Xenopus tropicalis: one gene and its partners. The protein of the gene in region 1 interacts with the protein of each later gene in a biochemical or structural test. Links are inferred from orthologs where the notes say so. Each region holds a gene or a part of one and is shown in the gene's direction. Other genes may lie near its edges.

What was found.
Region 2: the proteins of nppb (region 1) and npr3 form a complex in vitro, tested with the Homo sapiens proteins (4 studies listed by BioGRID, with this or other methods). The link is inferred for Xenopus tropicalis from reciprocal best matches to the Homo sapiens genes NPPB and NPR3.
Region 3: the proteins of nppb (region 1) and npr2 form a complex in vitro, tested with the Homo sapiens proteins (3 studies listed by BioGRID). The link is inferred for Xenopus tropicalis from reciprocal best matches to the Homo sapiens genes NPPB and NPR2.
Region 4: the proteins of nppb (region 1) and npr1 form a complex in vitro, tested with the Homo sapiens proteins (2 studies listed by BioGRID). The link is inferred for Xenopus tropicalis from reciprocal best matches to the Homo sapiens genes NPPB and NPR1.

Annotation. Positions count from the first base shown.
Region 1 is NC_030683.2:65,824,755-65,829,212, reverse strand, and holds nppb (natriuretic peptides B), read left to right. Parts: upstream 1-1,449; 5' UTR 1,450-1,623; coding exon 1,624-1,743; intron 1,744-2,103; coding exon 2,104-2,380; intron 2,381-2,984; coding exon 2,985-3,001; 3' UTR 3,002-3,180; downstream 3,181-4,458.
Region 2 is NC_030677.2:200,602,989-200,607,520, reverse strand, and holds part of npr3 (atrial natriuretic peptide receptor 3), read left to right. Parts: intron 1-164; coding exon 165-252; intron 253-3,565; coding exon 3,566-3,677; 3' UTR 3,678-4,532. UniProt on the Homo sapiens protein: Receptor for the natriuretic peptide hormones, binding with similar affinities atrial natriuretic peptide NPPA/ANP, brain natriuretic peptide NPPB/BNP, and C-type natriuretic peptide NPPC/CNP.
Region 3 is NC_030677.2:215,287,955-215,292,486, forward strand, and holds part of npr2 (atrial natriuretic peptide receptor 2), read left to right. Parts: intron 1-844; coding exon 845-1,000; intron 1,001-2,863; coding exon 2,864-3,032; intron 3,033-3,137; coding exon 3,138-3,284; intron 3,285-4,532. UniProt on the Homo sapiens protein: Receptor for the C-type natriuretic peptide NPPC/CNP hormone. Has guanylate cyclase activity upon binding of its ligand. May play a role in the regulation of skeletal growth.
Region 4 is NC_030684.2:144,221,593-144,226,124, forward strand, and holds part of npr1 (atrial natriuretic peptide receptor 1), read left to right. Parts: intron 1-184; coding exon 185-320; intron 321-2,326; coding exon 2,327-2,418; intron 2,419-2,504; coding exon 2,505-2,640; intron 2,641-2,810; coding exon 2,811-2,895; intron 2,896-4,532. UniProt on the Homo sapiens protein: Receptor for the atrial natriuretic peptide NPPA/ANP and the brain natriuretic peptide NPPB/BNP which are potent vasoactive hormones playing a key role in cardiovascular homeostasis.

The DNA of each region.
Region 1 (4,458 bases):
TTATTTATAGCTTAGTTGGGATCAATTACAAGGTACTGTTTTATTTCTACATAGAAAAAGGAAATCAGTTTTAAAATTCTGAATTATTTGATTAAAATGGAGTCTATGGGAGACAGCCTTTCCGTAATTCGGAGCTTTCTGGATAACGGGTTTCCGGATAAGGGGTCCGATACCTGTACTACAATTTCAGCAAAACAGGCTGACACTCAGGGTGAAGACACACAGAGCTACTAGAAGCAGCTACTTGTCCTGGCTACTAAAAGAGACAATGCTGATCATTTACTGATCATTTACTGATAATTGTCTCTACGTGTGTCTTAGCAGAGGCAATTCTCAGTATTGTCTATGGCAGGGTATTTTCTGGCGTTTAGTAGCCACTAGTAGCTACTAGTAGCTCCATGTGTCTTCGCCCTAACTGGGTCACAGTTGAGAACCTAATGCTAAATGCCAATATTTATTATAAAGAATTTAAATTCTTACAAGGTACAAAAATGGGCTATTTGTTATGCCTTTTAAGGATGTATTTACATCCTTAAAAGGCATAACAAATAGCCCATTTTAAATGCCTTAAGAACGTTTAATTCAGTAAGTTCTCAGCTGTGGTCCAGTAGGTATCAGCCTGTTGCTTTTCTGAAAGTCTGATGATTACACATTAAGCTGAAGATCTGGGGTGTGCATACATGGACCCACCAGTTTTTGTGGTGAGTCTACTTTTTATCAACTGGTCTTACTGAAGTTTGGTAAATCCTTGATGGACAAACACTTGGGTGTTGTTATGGATAATAAACTTAGCTGAAGCAAGCAATGCCAGTCAGCAGCAGGAAGATACTTTCTTATGAAATATACCTTAAGGCTTTATGTACAAAAAATGTGCATTAACCATTTGTAATGCAAGAATATGCTCTCACTCACGGATACATGTATTATTTGCATAAAAAATATATTGACTAATTTTTTGGACAAAAAATCAAAGATTGATGCAATTCAATCCTGTAGGAAAAGGGTGGAGGTGAAGTTTCGTAAATAACAAGGAAGATTAAGCTACTTGAAATTAATTTTTCAAACTAGACAGGGATTTATAATGTATTACTCACTTCCTTTGAAAGGCTCAAACTGCACCAACCTGTCCTATAAAAATCCTGGAACTATACAAGGTACAGGATAACTGCAATGCCCTCATCTGGGTGAATTCTAACAATTAGTATCCGGTGCTTACATACAGATCTCTCACAACAAAAGTTCTAAGTATGCCACTGGGGGTGGGGGTAATCTGAAGTGCAACATCACAGGGACACAGGGTGGCACATTCCTTTTAGTGACAACTAAAAACGGAATCTTCGACTGGCAAACTGGATGTTTCTAGCCAGAGTAATGCTGGTGCTAGAATGTGTCCAGATAAGTTTTCAGATAACCTCTGAGTACACCACTATGGTATAAAAGTGCAGCCAGGCTGGTTTGGGAGTGAAAGCAAGAAAGGGGCAAATAGAGACACACACACAGAAAGGGAAGAGTTTGAGAGGCAGAGAGAGGGCACAGAAACAAGAGAGGAAGAGAAGCAGAAGCAGAGGACAGTAACTGGACTGCAGAGAAGGTGTAAGAGCTACAAAGCTGGCATCAGTTGCAATGGAGTGGAAAGTCTTTTTGTTCTGTGGCTCCCTGCTATTTGTCTCCTTACAGTTCCAGAGCTGTGCAGCCCACCCAGTTATGGACTTGGACAAAGACAGAGACCTGGACACCTTAAAGGTGAGTTTTTTCACGTGTCCTATATAATTGTGATTTCCTTTCCTTGTAGCTTGACATGGGTAACAGGGTATGGAGTGTACTAGTATACAGAATTATAAAGTGTAGGGGATAGATTACAAGGCTTTAGAAGGGCAGAAGACACGTAAAGGTGCCCAATGCAGAAATGATTTGCTAGGCATATAAATTGCGCCTTCTCAGACTGCAGTTAATAAAAGCTGTAGTATTATTAATTTACAGTTGCTGCATAACACGTCTAGAAGTAACATTCCTGGCAAAGTAGCAGTGTGGGCAGGAAAGCGCAGCCTGGGGTTAATGTAACTGTGTGCCAGACTTATATGCTGCCTTCATGTTCTGCTACAGGGGGTACTGGAGAGGCTGGAAGAGAAACTGGCTGTTATGGAAGCTTTGGACGCAGATGCTACAAATCCTAGTTCAGAGGATGCCGATGCTGCTCGGCTGGCTGTAATAGACCAAGAAGAGATTGCCTCCCAGTCGTTCCCAGAGCCCCAGCTGCCGCTTAAGGACTCATTCCTCAAAGGGTTAAGGTCGCTGCGAAACCCCAAAATGATGAGGGGCTCCGGCTGCTTTGGAAGACGAATAGACAGAATCGATTCCCTGAGTGGAATGGGCTGTAATGGTAAGTGCACGAGAATTTTGTGCGATGTTCTAGAGATGGGACGGGCTCATGTGCCGTGGGACGGAAAGCGTTAACACGTAACAAGTACTGCGGCACCTCTGCGACTCACCCGACTCTGTCTCCGTGCTACTGACTAAGGTTCTGTGATACTGTAACACTTCTATTAAATGGTAAACCTATTGCCTTGTGCAATGTATTCATGGGAATTATTGTAATTAAAGGTAGGCAGCATCTGATAAATACGATTTTGCTTAGAGGGCATCATTTTCTGGGAGCAGTTCCATAACTGGTCACTTAGGAGTAAATAATCTTATAGCTTGAATACACAAGCAATGGATATATGTTAGTTGCCTGAGAAAAATAGCCTTTAGATCCCATTGTATTCTTAGAAACCCCACTCAGATAGTAGAAAGTGCTTTACATTGGCTCTGCTAATTATATATATAAGTAGTGTGATGCACAAGGCATACTGCTCCTGTGACATAAAGATTTCATTATTGTAGACCAGTTTATTACCAGCAAATATTCTCAACTGAGGGCTGACCTCTGTAGATTATACACATGTGGAATAGTTGTTAACCAGTATTTATTATTCTGTTTTCAGGGTCCAGGAGATATTGATCCAGGAAGGATTTCAGATTCTCTTCTGTTTCTTTATGCCCTATAAACTTTGCATAGACATTTGTGTTCTATTTAAGTCTTTGTTCTTATTTATTTATTTATGACTATTTATTTGATATTTTATAACAACATTTGGTAGCACTTCATAATTCATATTAAAAATGACAGCTGACACTTTATATTGGCTTGTGTTATTCATTTCATTAAACTGATAGTTAATTGCTTGAGATGTTAATACAAGTGGAAGAGGGAAAAAAAGACAACTTTTAAGGGCAGATTTATCAAAATGTGAGCCTAATATATATTGTTATTATTGTAAAGAGTCATTTCTGTTACAAGCAAGCACATGCACTTTGATCATTGCATCTGTGCCAAGGTCAACATTTAATAAATCCAACATAATTCAGATGATCTCATATGCAAATTAATTTAGACGTATAAATCCAGATGACAATGTGAGAGACAAAGTTCAGTGCTTATACCTTCCATCAACCCTCAGCCTTGGCTCTCCCCTTTGTACACTGTCAGAAACAGATTTAGAAGATATTATGATGTCTTACTTTCTTTTCCAATAACATCCCAAAGGCCTAAACATTAGTTATTATAGAAAGCCTTGTTCAATTTCCATATGCTGGATATGGTACAAAAATCTATATTTTCATACATACAGGTCAGAAATGGACAACTGGATTATTTAAATTATTTTCCTATATTTACTTAGTATTTACTTACTGATATTCTTCTGAAAAGTGTTTTAAGGTTGTAAAATAGCATAATCCAGTAACCAACTGCCACCAGCACAGATATAGTAAAGCTGTCACAATGAAAGCAGGAGTCTAATTTGTTGCCGTGGGATGCTGGACCTGCTTGTGTATGCATGGGATATATATTTATGAATGTTACTATTAGCTATTACAAAAGTTCTGTTGAAATGTTAAAATGGATCTTATTCAATATTCTTTAGTTTTTGTTTTATATATATATTTAGTGTAGTTTTATATGGCTTTGTTGTTTCAAGATCTAGCAGAATTTCTTCTATTCACTTTAACTTCCTATTAGAATAAAGTGATATGTTTTTAAAAAAAGATGTGTGTTTTCAATTATCTATTGGCTTACCACCCTGGATCTTGCTCCTACTTCATTAAGCACATACTATTTTATTTCGACTCCTATATTATTTTATCTCCTGCCTTATCATATTAGAGTTTTCCTGCTTTTGGGTAACCCTTTTACAAATTTTTTGGGGCAGCTGTGGGGGCCCACCAATGAGATCTTTGCCCTGGTACCTGGTACATTAGTCTTTCTCCTTAATTTACTTTAATTTGATTTCAGTTCAAAAATATATAATGACTAACTTATTCATATTTTTAGCAATATCACTACATCATTATGACACCATTGTCACATTTTATAAAAGCTGTAATTAATATCAACTAACTAATCACAATTGCATATGC
Region 2 (4,532 bases), on another chromosome or scaffold:
GCATGGGTTCAGCCGAATACTGCTGAAAAAGGCTGAATTTTGGCCGAATCCTGGATTCTGTGCACCCTACAAATGATCAAATGATAAACCTTAACAAAACAACTGTTGATTTTACTTATAAGTTCTATGACTTATCATAGCTATTTCTTGTCACATTTCTCAAGCAGGTGGCCTTGGAGAATCCGCAGTTACAGGCATCGTTGTTGGAGCCTTTTTAGGAACTGGACTCTTAATGGCATTCTACTTTTTCAGGTATGTTATAAAAAAGCCTTAATACTTATGGTTTTGTCTTGCCATGATACACTTCCTGTCTTTGGGAACCAGGGGGGTCATTTATGAATATTTCACAGTAGATATAAAATGCTGGTAACAGCAATTGATTCAGTGAAAATAAAACCACATTTTAATGGCTCAAAAATTCATTCAAAACATAATGCAAAACAAATTCAGATATATACTATACCAAACAGTGACAAGGTGCATCCTAGTGCCTCTCCTAACGCGTTTCGCACAGAGTGCTTCATCAGAGGAGGTGTGGTGTGTTGATGTCACATCCCTTTTATACCCATCCACATCTACCCTATACATTGTACAGGGTATTGCATTGAGCATATATTATAACAATATTTTAAAATATACACATTCCAGGGTTTAAAATTGCCCTGTATTCAGCATAAATTATACAGAGTCACATAAAAACCTCGTAGACATTGCAAATTTTCAAAATTCTTCTTAATCAAAAACTTTTTAACCATTATAATGGATATTATGGCCACTGTGTTAGAACATCACACCCAACATATAAAAATACAGTGAAGTTTTAAAGTGCAAATTAGTGCAAATCGATTAAAACCAGCTAAAAACTTAATACAAAACTATTTAGGAAACTAGTTGCAGGCAATACAATTTTGAGAAGGGATTCCTTCCATCCAGAGCATACTGTAAAGTCAATACCATATGCACAGTTGGTGAGACTTTATAGAAATTTCACTAATTATAAAATATTTAAAGAACAAGCGAGACAAGAGTGTGAGAGGCTCGAAGAGAGAGGATATAATAAAAATGATCTGCAAATAGCGTTACACAAAGTAGGTGACCTAATAGCAAATAGTAACAAAAATAGAGGTAAAAAAAGTAAAATGGAAACCTCCAAAACTACAAAAGTTGAAGAGATCAGGTGCATTCTAGATTTTGGGGTGCAATATAAACAAATAACTAAAGTTATTAAAAGAAACTGGAATATTTTACAGGTGGATCCAGTGTTAAAAAAGCTGAATATGAGACCAGGTGTTATAAGTAGAAAAGCAAAATCGATAGCGGGATTTATAGCCCCAAATAAATTGAAGAGAAATAACGATAGGAAAGTGACATGTTGGTTAGGTAATGTAAAAGGTTTCTTTCCATGCAAAGGTTGTAAAGCCTGTAAATATACTGGTAATAAAAAAACATTTTTCAGTAAAAATAATGATAAAGAATTTAGTATAGATACTTATATATCATGTCAAACACAGTATGTTATCTACTGCCTACAATGTGAATGTGGTTCTATATATGTGGGACGGACTATCAGACAGCTAAGAACAAGGTTAGGAGAACATCTGCGAGGACTGAAAAATAAGGATGATGATAACCCTTTATATAAACATTTTAAATATTCACATGAAGGCAAGCAGATGCAGTTTCAAATGTTTGGCATTGATAAAATAAATGAAAGAAGTGAAGGAAACCTGGTTACTAAGCTGTTGCGGTTAGAATCTAAGTGGATATTTACATTAAACACTGTAATACCAAAAGGGATGAATACAAAATTTGAATTAAAACCATTTTTAGTGTCATCCTGGAAATAATTTGTGTAGGAGAAATATGGGTTGCAACCTATAGCACTAAATAGCACCAAATGATCTTAAAGGCAATTCTTCTGGGTTTGAAAAGTGACTTATGAGTAACTGGTCGGGGTCTGAATATAAGATAAAGCGAATGAACAAAAAGAAAGAGTTTTTAGCTGGTTTTAATCGATTTGCACTAATTTGCACTTTAAAACTTCACTGTATTTTTATATGTTGGGTGTGATGTTCTAACACAGTGGCCATAATATCCATTATAATGGTTAAAAAGTTTTTGATTAAGAAGAATTTTGAAAATTTGCAATGTCTACGAGGTTTTTATGTGACTCTGTATAATTTATGCTGAATACAGGGCACTGTTTAACCCTGGAATGTGTATATTTTAAAATATTGTTATAATATATGCTCAATGCAATACCCTGTACAATGTATAGGGTAGATGTGGATGGGTATAAAAGGGATGTGACATCAACACACCACACCTCCTCTGATGAAGCACTCAGTGCGAAACGCGTTAGGAGAGGCACTAGGATGCACCTTGTCACTGTTTGGTATAGTATATATCTGAATTTGTTTTGCATTATGTTTTGAATGAATTTTTGAGCCATTAAAATGTGGTTTTATTTTCACTGAATCAATTGCTGTTATTTGTATACTATGTCAGGACCTATCAGTGAAATATAAAATGTGATTTCCTTTCCTAAATATATACTGTTGTGATTGATTAGATATAAAATGCTGGGACTGTTATCACTGTATTGTCCAGCATGCCTGGCAGTTAGGGATGCACCAAACCCAGCTTTTTGGGTTCGGATGAACCCCGAATCCATCCCAAAACAATATTTGGTGCAGTGGTTCTCAACTATGAAAATGGTCCCCTAATGGGCTCAAAACCAAAGGAGGTTGCATGAAACTTTATGGTGAATGCTTAGTTGCTATCATAGATATCTTTGGAACTGTAAGAGAATGACCATTTTATATATATGTAATTATATGTATTACAAGGTTGGGCTTTCATTTCACAAGACTGAAGACCCAGAATCTGTTTAGTAGGGGGAGTTTCACTCCGATTTAGGGTTCTTCTCAAACCCTTCTATGAAACCGAAGACATTCTCTAGCCTCATATGTTATTTCTGTGACCCAGTCACCTAAAGTAAATATAAATAAATGGAGGCCACTCACTTCACATACAAAAAAAGCAACATAGGTGTTTGGTGCAAAAAAACCCAAAACTGTATAGGGTACCGAAAGCAGTAATTTTAAATAGGATAAGGGTTTGCACACCCCAACGTTCTCGATTCCCCTAGAGAAAGGCTCTTTGCTGAAACGTTGGGGTAATTCTCATCTTTGGCAAGTGTATCCGCTATCATGCGTGTCTCTTTTTTGCCTATGCACATTTTGTGGTATGTATTATCTTATCATTTTATGTGTTATTTTCTGTAATTTTGTAATTAAAATTGTTTGCTGTTAAATCTTCTGCATATTATAGAAAGGATTTTTTTTTAATACTACCACTGTGCTTGTGTTTTCTGTGTGCAAACCCTTATCCTATTTAAAACCCAGTCACCTGAAGTCCAGGCTAAATTGACTCTCCTTCAACACAGATATTATCATTGGGTTATTTAATGCAGTTTTTATTTACAAAAACATATGGAAAAATCTCCTCTAGTAGCAAAAAGTGACACTTGACCATCTCACCATTGACATTCCTCCCGTTGCAGAAAGAAATACAGAATAACTATCGAAAGACGAAATCAGCAGGACGACTGCAACCTAGGGAAACACCGACAGCTTCGGGAAGATTCCATAAGATCTCATTTTTCTGCGGCATAAAGAATAGAAAACAAACAAAAATCTTTAGGAAGAAGCAACCAAAGACATCATTACGTGTGATGGGGTTCTTGCAGAAGCTATTTTTTAAGGCAGTAGAATCTTATTTCCATTCTCATATTGTTTTCAGAAACTCAGGAATGATCGATTAATTGCATTATGCCATGTGGCCTTTCATCTTGTGAAAAACGGGCACGGTTTGACAAGGTTATTACGATCTGTGCGTAGAAATCATTGGGCGATGTGTGTCGGACAAAGATAGGCACTTTTTTAAAAAAAAAATAATGTTCCTTTTCAACATGTTTGTCCAGAGCTTCATAGGAAAAACAAACCCAAATTGGCACACATAGTTAACACTGAAATTATTTTTTTCGACACTGAAAATTTTTGCAGAAGGAAAGGTTGTTGGAATGCAACCGCGCAATTTTGATTTGATAGTGCGCAACCTTGGCAGGTACTGGCAGCAGTACGGGTTGTATTCACTCCCATACAGTAGACGTTGTGCGGAAGAGTTAAAACGAGCACGCCGGGCCATTAAACCCAAAGCCTCTGCACGGAATATACCATTCACGTATCTTATTTCTGCTATGAATTCTCGAGGTCGATGGGTTAAAAATACCTGTTTTTGCCAAAGTACACTGAAGAGTTCATGTTGACTCTGGCGAGCTGAAAGCAAACACAATGAAGCATTGATGCAAATGAATCTGTCCATCTTGTTGAATTTTTCTGGTTTGCTCAATCTTGATACGGCTTAACCTGCGGCATGACAGATCGGCTGTATGTTTCAGGGTCAAGCTTGAGTGAACACAGGCATTGACTGTAATCCTGTGGAAATGTAAATGCTTTACCTTAGAATGA
Region 3 (4,532 bases), on another chromosome or scaffold:
CCCCCAGAGAAAGGAGGCAGCACCCAGTGATGACAGTCAGTGACTGAGCCTTTCCCTCAGAGATAAGAGCAGCACCCAGTGGTGACAGTCAGTGACTGAGCCTTTCCCCCAGAGAAAGGAGGCAGCACCCAGTGATGACAGTCAGTGACTGAGCCTTTCCCTCAGAGATAAGAGCAGCACCCAGTGGTGACAGTCAGTGACTGAGCCTTTCCCCCAGAGATAGGAGGCAGCACCCAGTGGTGACAGTCGGTGTCTGAGCCTTTCCCTAAGAGATAGGAGGCAGCACCCAGTGGTGACAGTCAGTGACTGAGCCTTTCCCTCAGAGATAAGAGCAGCACCCAGTGGTGACAGTTAGTGACTGAGCCTTTCCCTCAGAGATAGGAGGCAGCACCCAGTGGTGACAGTCAGTGACTGAGCCATTCACCTCAGAGATAGGAGCAGCACCCAGTGGTGACAGTCAGTGACTGAGCCTTTCCCTCAGAGATAAGAGCAGCACCCAGTGGTGACAGTTAGTGACTGAGCCTTTCCCTCAGAGATAAGAGCAGCACCCAGTGGTGACAGTTAGTGACTGAGCCTTTCCTTCAGAGATAGGAGGCAGCACCCAGTGGTGACAGTCAGTGACTGAGCCTTTCCCTCAGAGATAGGAGGCAGCACCCAGTGGTGACAGTCAGTGACTGAGCCTTTCCCTCAGAGATAAGAGCAGCACCCAGTGGTGACAGTTAGTGACTGAGCCTTTCCTTCAGAGATAGGAGGCAGCACCCAGTGGTGACAGTCAGTGACTGAGCCTTTCCCTCGTGCTGACAGTTGTTAAACTGCCGGTCCTATTCATGCTTTCATCATACAGAGAAGTTATGGACGGCTCCGGAGCTTTTGCGGATGACGAGACCCCCGGCACCGGGCACCCAAAAAGGCGATGTGTACAGCTTTGGGATTATCCTACAGGAGATTGCGCTGAGAAACGGCTGCTTTTATATCCAGGGGATGGACCTCAGCCCAAAAGGTAAATTCATATATTCATTTATGTGGCATTACACAGATGCATCACAGACTCCTGACTGGCACAGTATAGAGGTTGGGCATTACACAGATGCATCACAGACTCCTGAGTGACACAGTATAGAGGTTGGGCATTACACAGATGCATCACAGACTCCTGAGTGACACAGTATAGAGGTTGGACATTACACAGATGCATCACAGACTCCTGACTGACACAGTATAGAGGTTGGGCATTACACAGATGCATCACAGACTCCTGAGTGACACAGTATAGAGGTTGGGCATTACACAGATGCATCACAGACTCCTGACTGGCACAGTATAGATGCTGGGCATTACACAGATGCATCACAAACTCCTGACTGACACAGTATAGAGGTTGGGCATTACACAGATGCATCACAGACTCCTGAGTGACACAGTATAGAGGTTGGGCATTACACAGATGCATCACAGACTCCTGACTGGCACAGTATAGAGGTTGGGCATTACACAGATGCATCACAGACTCCTGACTGACACAGTATAGAGGTTGGGCATTACACAGATGCATCACAGACTCCTGAGTGACACAGTATAGAGGTTGGGCATTACACAGATGCATCACAGACTCCTGAGGGACACAGTATAGAGGTTGGGCATTACACAGATGCATCACAGACTCCTGACTGACACAGTATAGAGGTTGGGCATTACACAGATGCCTCACAGACTCCTGAGTGACACAGTATAGAGGTTGGGCATTACACAGATGCATCACAGACTCCTGAGTGACACAGTATAGAGGTTGGGCATTACACAGATGCATCACAGACTCCTGAGTGACACAGTATAGAGGTTGGGCATTACACAGATGCATCACAGACTCCTGAGTGACACAGTATAGAGGTTGGGCATTACACAGATGCATCACAGACTCCTGACTGGCACAGTATAGAGGTTGGGCATTACACAGATGCATCACAGACTCCTGAGTGACACAGTATAGAGGTTGGGCATTACACAGATGCATCACAGACTCCCGAGTGACACAGTATAGAGGTTGGGCATTACACAGATGCATCACAGACTCCCGAGTGACACAGTATAGAGGTTGGACATTACACAGATGCATCACAGACTCCTGAGTGACACAGTATAGAGGTTGGGCATTACACAGATGCATCACAGACTCCTGACTGACACAGTATAGAGGTTGGACATTACACAGATGCATCACAGACTCCTGAGTGACACAGTATAGAGGTTGGGCATTACACAGATGCATCACAGACTCCTGAGTGACACAGTATAGAGGTTGGGCATTACACAGATGCATCACAGACTCCTGAGTGACACAGTATAGAGGTTGGGCATTACACAGATGCATCACAGACTCCTGAGTGACACAGTATAGAGGTTGGGCATTACACAGATGCATCACAGACTCCTGACTGACACAGTATAGAGGTTGGACATTACACAGATGCATCACAGACTCCTGAGTGACACAGTATAGAGGTTGGGCATTACACAGATGCATCACAGACTCCTGAGTGACACAGTATAGAGGTTGGGCATTACACAGATGCATCACAGACTCCTGAGTGACACAGTATAGAGGTTGGGCATTACACAGATGCATCACAGACTCCTGAGTGACACAGTATAGAGGTTGGGCATTACACAGATGCATCACAGACTCCTGAGTGACACAGTATAGAGGTTGGGCATTACACAGATGCATCACAGACTCCTGACTGACACAGTATAGAGGTTGGGCATTACACAGATGCATCACAGACTCCTGACTGACACAGTATAGAGGCTGGGCATTACACAGATGCACCTCAGACTCCTGACTGACCATTCCCTTTCTCCTTAGAGATAGTACAAAAGGTGCGGAATGGCCAGCGCCCCTATTTCCGCCCCACAGTAGACATCAGTTGTCACAGTGAAGAACTGGGCATCTTGATGGACAGATGTTGGGCCGAGGAACCTTTGGACAGACCAGATTTCAACCAGATCAAGGCCTACATCTGCAAGTTCAATAAGTAAGGAGCCCATCGTAAAAAATGAGTTTAAATTCTGAAATATTGGGTTTAACCTATACTCGCCAATAACCCTGTAGGGTTGAACTTTGTGCCTTCCACTTGCAGGGAAGGCAGCACCAGTATCCTAGATAATCTGCTTTCCCGTATGGAGCAGTATGCCAACAACCTGGAGAAACTGGTGGAGGAACGAACACAGGCCTATCTAGAGGAAAAGCGCAAGGCCGAGAACCTGTTGTACCAGATCCTTCCGCAGTGAGTACCGCACAGTATAAATATATAGATACACACAGGAGACATGAATATCCTATAAATGAGATCCTTCAGCCTTCAGCCTTGTGGTTTACCTATTTATGTGTATAGGGGATAAGTGAGGGTAGAACACACAGTAGGTATATGTAGAACATGAGGGTAGAACACACAGTAGGTATATGTAGAACATGAGGGTAGAACACACTGTCGATTATATGCAGAACATGAGGGTAGAACACACTGTTGATATATGTAGAATGTGAGGGTAGAACACACAGTAGGTATATGTAGAACGTGAGGGTAGAACACACTGTAGATATATGTAGAATGTGAGGGTAGAACACCCAGTAGGTATATGTAGAACGTGAGGATAGAACACACTGTAGATATATGTAGAACGTGAGGGTAGAACTCACAGTAGGTATATGTAGAATGGGGAGGGTAGAACACACATTAGGTATATGTAGAACGTAAGAGTAGAACACACAGTAGGTATATGTAGAACGTGAGGGTAGAACACACAGTAGGTATATATAGAACGGGGAGGGTAGAACACACAGTAGGTATATGTAGAACGTAAGGGTAGAACACACAGTAGGTATATATAGAACGGGGAGGGTAGAACACACTGTAGATATATGTAGAATGTGAGGGTAGAACACATTGTAGATATATGTAGAACGTGAGGGTAGAACACACAGTAGGTATATGTAGAACGCAAGGGTAGAACACACAGTAGGTATATGTAGAACGCAAGGGTAGAACACACAGTAGGTATATGTAGAACGTGAGGGTAGAACACACAGTAGGTATATATAGAATGGGGAGGGTAGAACACACAGTAGGTATATGTAGAACGTAAGAGTAGAACACACAGTAGGTATATGTAGAACGTGAGGGTAGAACTCACAGTAGGTATATGTAGAACTTGAGGGTAGAACACACTGTAGATATATGTAGAACGTGAGGGTAGAACACACAGTAGGTATATGTAGAACGTGAGGGTAGAACACACAGTAGGTATATGTAGAACGTGAGGATAGAACACACTGTAGATATATGTAGAACGTGAGGGTAGAACACACAGTAGGTATATGTAGAACGTAAGAGTAGAACACACAGTAGGTATATGTAGAACGTGAGGGTAGAACACACTGTAGATATATGTAGAATGTGAGGGTAGAACACACAGTAGGTATATGTAGAACGTGAGGATAGAACACACTGTAGATATATGTAGAACGTGAGGGA
Region 4 (4,532 bases), on another chromosome or scaffold:
GAAAAGACGACCAACTGCAACTGCAGCCTCAGGCACCTCGGGGCACAGAGCCATTCCCTTTCCTAAGGTTTAAATCTCCTTTCCCCCAATGCCCGGGTAACTGCCCGCTCAGCACCTACTTACTGATTTCTGCCACCTTTAATAAATTATTTTTGCCCCCCCCCCCCCCCCCCCCCTTGTACAGATGAATGCCCTGTCAGCGTCGTTCCACGACTCGGTGCTGCTGTATGCCCACGCTGTCAATGAGACCCGCGCCAACGGCTACAGCATGAAGAATGCCTCGGCCGTCACCAGTTACATGAGAAATAAATCCTTCTACGGTGAGAACCTACACAAACCATTCTATGTGACTGCTAATATCCTTATCATATACAGTAGGGGGTACAGTATCCCTTATAATACATGAGTGATACTCAGAGTTCCCTGTATAACTCAGCCTGCAGCCTTGTGCCTTTATATGGGGGGCACAGAACCCCTCAGTGACTGCTAATATCCTTATCATTTACAGTAGGGGGTACATTATCCCTTATAATACATGAGTGATACTCAGAGTTCCCTGTATAACTCAGCCTGCAGCCTTGTGCCTTTATATGGGGGGCACAGAGCCCCTCAGTGACTGCTAATATCCTTATCATTTACAGTAGGGGGTACATTATCCCTTATAATACATGAGTGATACTCAGAGTTCCCTGTATAACTCAGCCTGCAGCCTTGTGCCTTTATATGGGCACAGAACCCCTCAGTGACTGCTAATATCCTTATCATTTACAGTAGGGGGTACATTATCCCTTATAATACATGAGTGATACTCAGAGTTCCCTGTATAACTCAGCCTGCAGCCTTGTGCCTTTATATGGGGGCACAGAACCCCTCAGTGACTGCTAATATCCTTATCATTTACAGTAGGGGTACATTATCCCTTATAATACATGAGTGATACTCAGAGTTCCCTGTATAACTCAGCCTGCAGCCTTGTGCCTTTATATGGGGGGCACAGAACCCCTCAGTGACTGCTAATATCCTTATCATTTACAGTAGGGGTACATTATCCCTTATAATACATGAGTGATACTCAGAGTTCCCTGTATAACTCAGCCTGCAGCCTTGTGCCTTTATATGGGGGGCACAGAACCCCTCAGTGACTGCTAATATCCTTATCATTTACAGTAGGGGGTACATTATCCCTTATAATACATGAGTGATACTCAGAGTTCCCTGTATAACTCAGCCTGCAGCCTTGTGCCTTTATATGGGGGGCACAGAACCCCTCAGTGACTGCTAATATCCTTATCATTTACAGTAGGGGTACATTATCCCTTATAATACATGAGTGATACTCAGAGTTCCCTGTATAACTCAGCCTGCAGCCTTGTGCCTTTATATGGGGGGCACAGAACCCCTCAGTGACTGCTAATATCCTTATCATTTACAGTAGGGGGTACATTATCCCTTATAATACATGAGTGATACTCAGAGTTCCCTGTATAACTCAGCCTGCAGCCTTGTGCCTTTATATGGGGGGCACAGAACCCCTCAGTGACTGCTAATATCCTTATCATTTACAGTAGGGGGTACATTATCCCTTATAATACATGAGTGATACTCAGAGTTCCCTGTATAACTCAGCCTGCAGCCTTGTGCCTTTATATGGGGGGCACAGAACCCCTCAGTGACTGCTAATATCCTTATCATATACAGTAGGGGGTACATTATCCCTTATAATACATGAGTGATACTCAGAGTTCCCTGTATAACTCAGCCTGCAGCCTTGTGCCTTTATATGGGGGGCACAGAACCCCTCAGTGACTGCTAATATCCTTATCAGTTACAGTAGGGGGTACATTATCCCTTACAATACACGAGTGTAGCCTTATGCCTTTATACTGATCTGTCTTTTCTCATGTAATTGATGTATCCCACAATCCTCTCCCATCTCCCAGAATTCTCCTCCCTCAGCCTTGCTGCTGTCTATATAAGATTGGGGTCACGCTCTCCCCCAGCTCTCACCGTGCAGGCTGTGCTAATGACTCCAGCCAAGGCAGGCTGGTAATTAGACAGGAGGAATGTTCTGGCTGGGAGGGATGTGTGGGTGGGAAGAGTTTGCTGTAACGCTTGGGGGGTTTCTATATGTCAGGCTGATCCCCTCGGGCTGCCGTACACTGACACCGCCAGCTGTGCTTCGGGCAGAATCAGGGTCAGCGGCTGGACCGCAGAGCTTATACTCAACCATGTGATACACTCGCTAATTGGCCCTATGTATTTGCTTTGGGGCCCCTGGTAAAGCTGTGTATTTGTAGTGGTTTAACTTACCCTTTATCTGCCGCAGGGGCTTCTGGGTTTGTGAAGATCGATGACAATGGCGACCGGGAGAACGACTTTTCCCTGTGGGACATGTATGAACCCCACGGAACCTTCCAGGTGAGGAACCGGTATTGGGGGGGGGGGGGTCCCGGGAAAATGAAATGCAGGTGAACTTCCCCTTTAATGCAATTTCTCTCCCCCAGATTGTGTATAATTACAATGGGACACTGAGGAAGATTGTTCCGCTGCCGGGACGGGAGATCGAGTGGCCGGGAAACCGGATCCCGAGGGATGTCCCTCCCTGTGGGTTTGATCACAGTGACCCCAAGTGCAAGAAATGTAGGTGCCAGGGGGGGGGGGGCATGTAGGGATCAGGTATATGGATTTGTTATAGAGGCTGTAGCCTCACTTGGGGGCTATTAGCTAGGGATTATGGGCATGTGGGGGCGCTGTTACTCTCCTGGCTGCTGTGTGACCCCCCCGTATTCTGCTTTGTGCCCCCCCTGCAGCCAGTTTTACCATCCTGGAGATCCTGTCTATAGTGATCTGCTTTATCCTCCTGATCATCACCGTATCCTCCATCTTTATATACAGGTAACTCCCCCCGCCTCCCTATCCTCCATCTTTATATACAGGTAACTCCTCCCTGCCTCCCTATCCTCCATCTTTATATACAGGTAACTCCCCCCTGCCTCCCTATCCTCCATCTTTATATACAGGTAACTCCCCCTGCCTCTCTATCCTCCATCTTTATATACAGGTAACTCCCCCCTGCCTCCCTATCCTCCATCTTTATATACAGGTAACTCCCCCCGCCTCCCTATCCTCCATCTTTATATACAGGTAACTCCCCCCTGCCTCCCTATCCTCCATCTTTATATACAGGTAACTCCCCCCTGCCTCCCTATCCTCCATCTTTATATACAGGTAACTCCCCCCTGCCTCCCTATCCTCCATCTTTATATACAGGTAACTCCCCCCTGCCTCCCTATCCTCCATCTTTATATACAGGTAACTCCCCCCTGCCTTCCTATCCTCCATCTTTATATACAGGTAACTCCCCCTGCCTTCCCTATCCTCCATCTTTATATACAGGTAACTCCCCCCTGCCTTCCTATCCTCCATCTTTATATACAGGTAACTCCCCCTGCCTCCCTATCCTCCATCTTTATATACAGGTAACTCCCCCTGCCTTCCTATCCTCCATCTTTATATACAGGTAACTCCCCCTGCCTCCCTATCCTCCATCTTTATATACAGGTAACTCCCCCTGCCTCCTATCCTCCATCTTTATATACAGGTAACTCCCCCTGCCTCCCTATCCTCCATCTTTATATACAGGTAACTCCCCCTGCCTCCCTATCCTCCATCTTTATATACAGGTAACTCCCCCCTGCCTTCCTATCCTCCATCTTTATATACAGGTAACTCCCCCTGCCTCCCTATCCTCCATCTTTATATACAGGTAACTCCCCCTGCCTCCCTATCCTCCATCTTTATATACAGGTAACTCCCCTGCTCCTCCCATCTTAAGCCTTCCTATCCTCCATCTTTATATACAGGTAACTCCCCCTGCCTCCCTATCCTCCATCTTTATATACAGGTAACTCCCCCTGCCTCCCTATCCTCCATCTTTATATACAGGTAACTCCCCCCTGCCTCCCTATCCTCCATCTTTATATACAGGTAACTCCCCCTGCCTCCCTACCTCCATCTTTATATACAGGTAACTCCCCCGCCTCCCTATCCTCCATCTTTATATACAGGTAACTCCCCCCTGCCTCCCTATCCTCCATCTTTATATACAGGTAACTTCCCCCCGCCTCCCTACCCTCCATCTTTATATACAGGTAACTCCCCCCTGCCTTCCTATCCTCCATCTTTAAATACAGGTAACTCCCCCCTGCCTCCCTATCCTCCATCTTTATATACAGGTAACTCCCCCCTGCCTCCCTATCCTCCATCTTTATATACAGGTAACTCCCCCCTGCCTCCCTATCCTCCATCTTTATATACAGGTAACTCGCCCCTGCCTGTCTATCCTCCATCTTTATATACAGGTAACTCCCCCCTGCCTCCCTATCCTCCATCTTTATATACAGGTAACTCGCCCCTGCCTCTCTATCCTCCATCTTTATATACAGGTAACTCCCCCCTGCCTCCCTATCCTCCATCTTTATATACAGGTAACTCCCCCTGCCTCCCTATCCTCCATCTTTATATACAGGTAA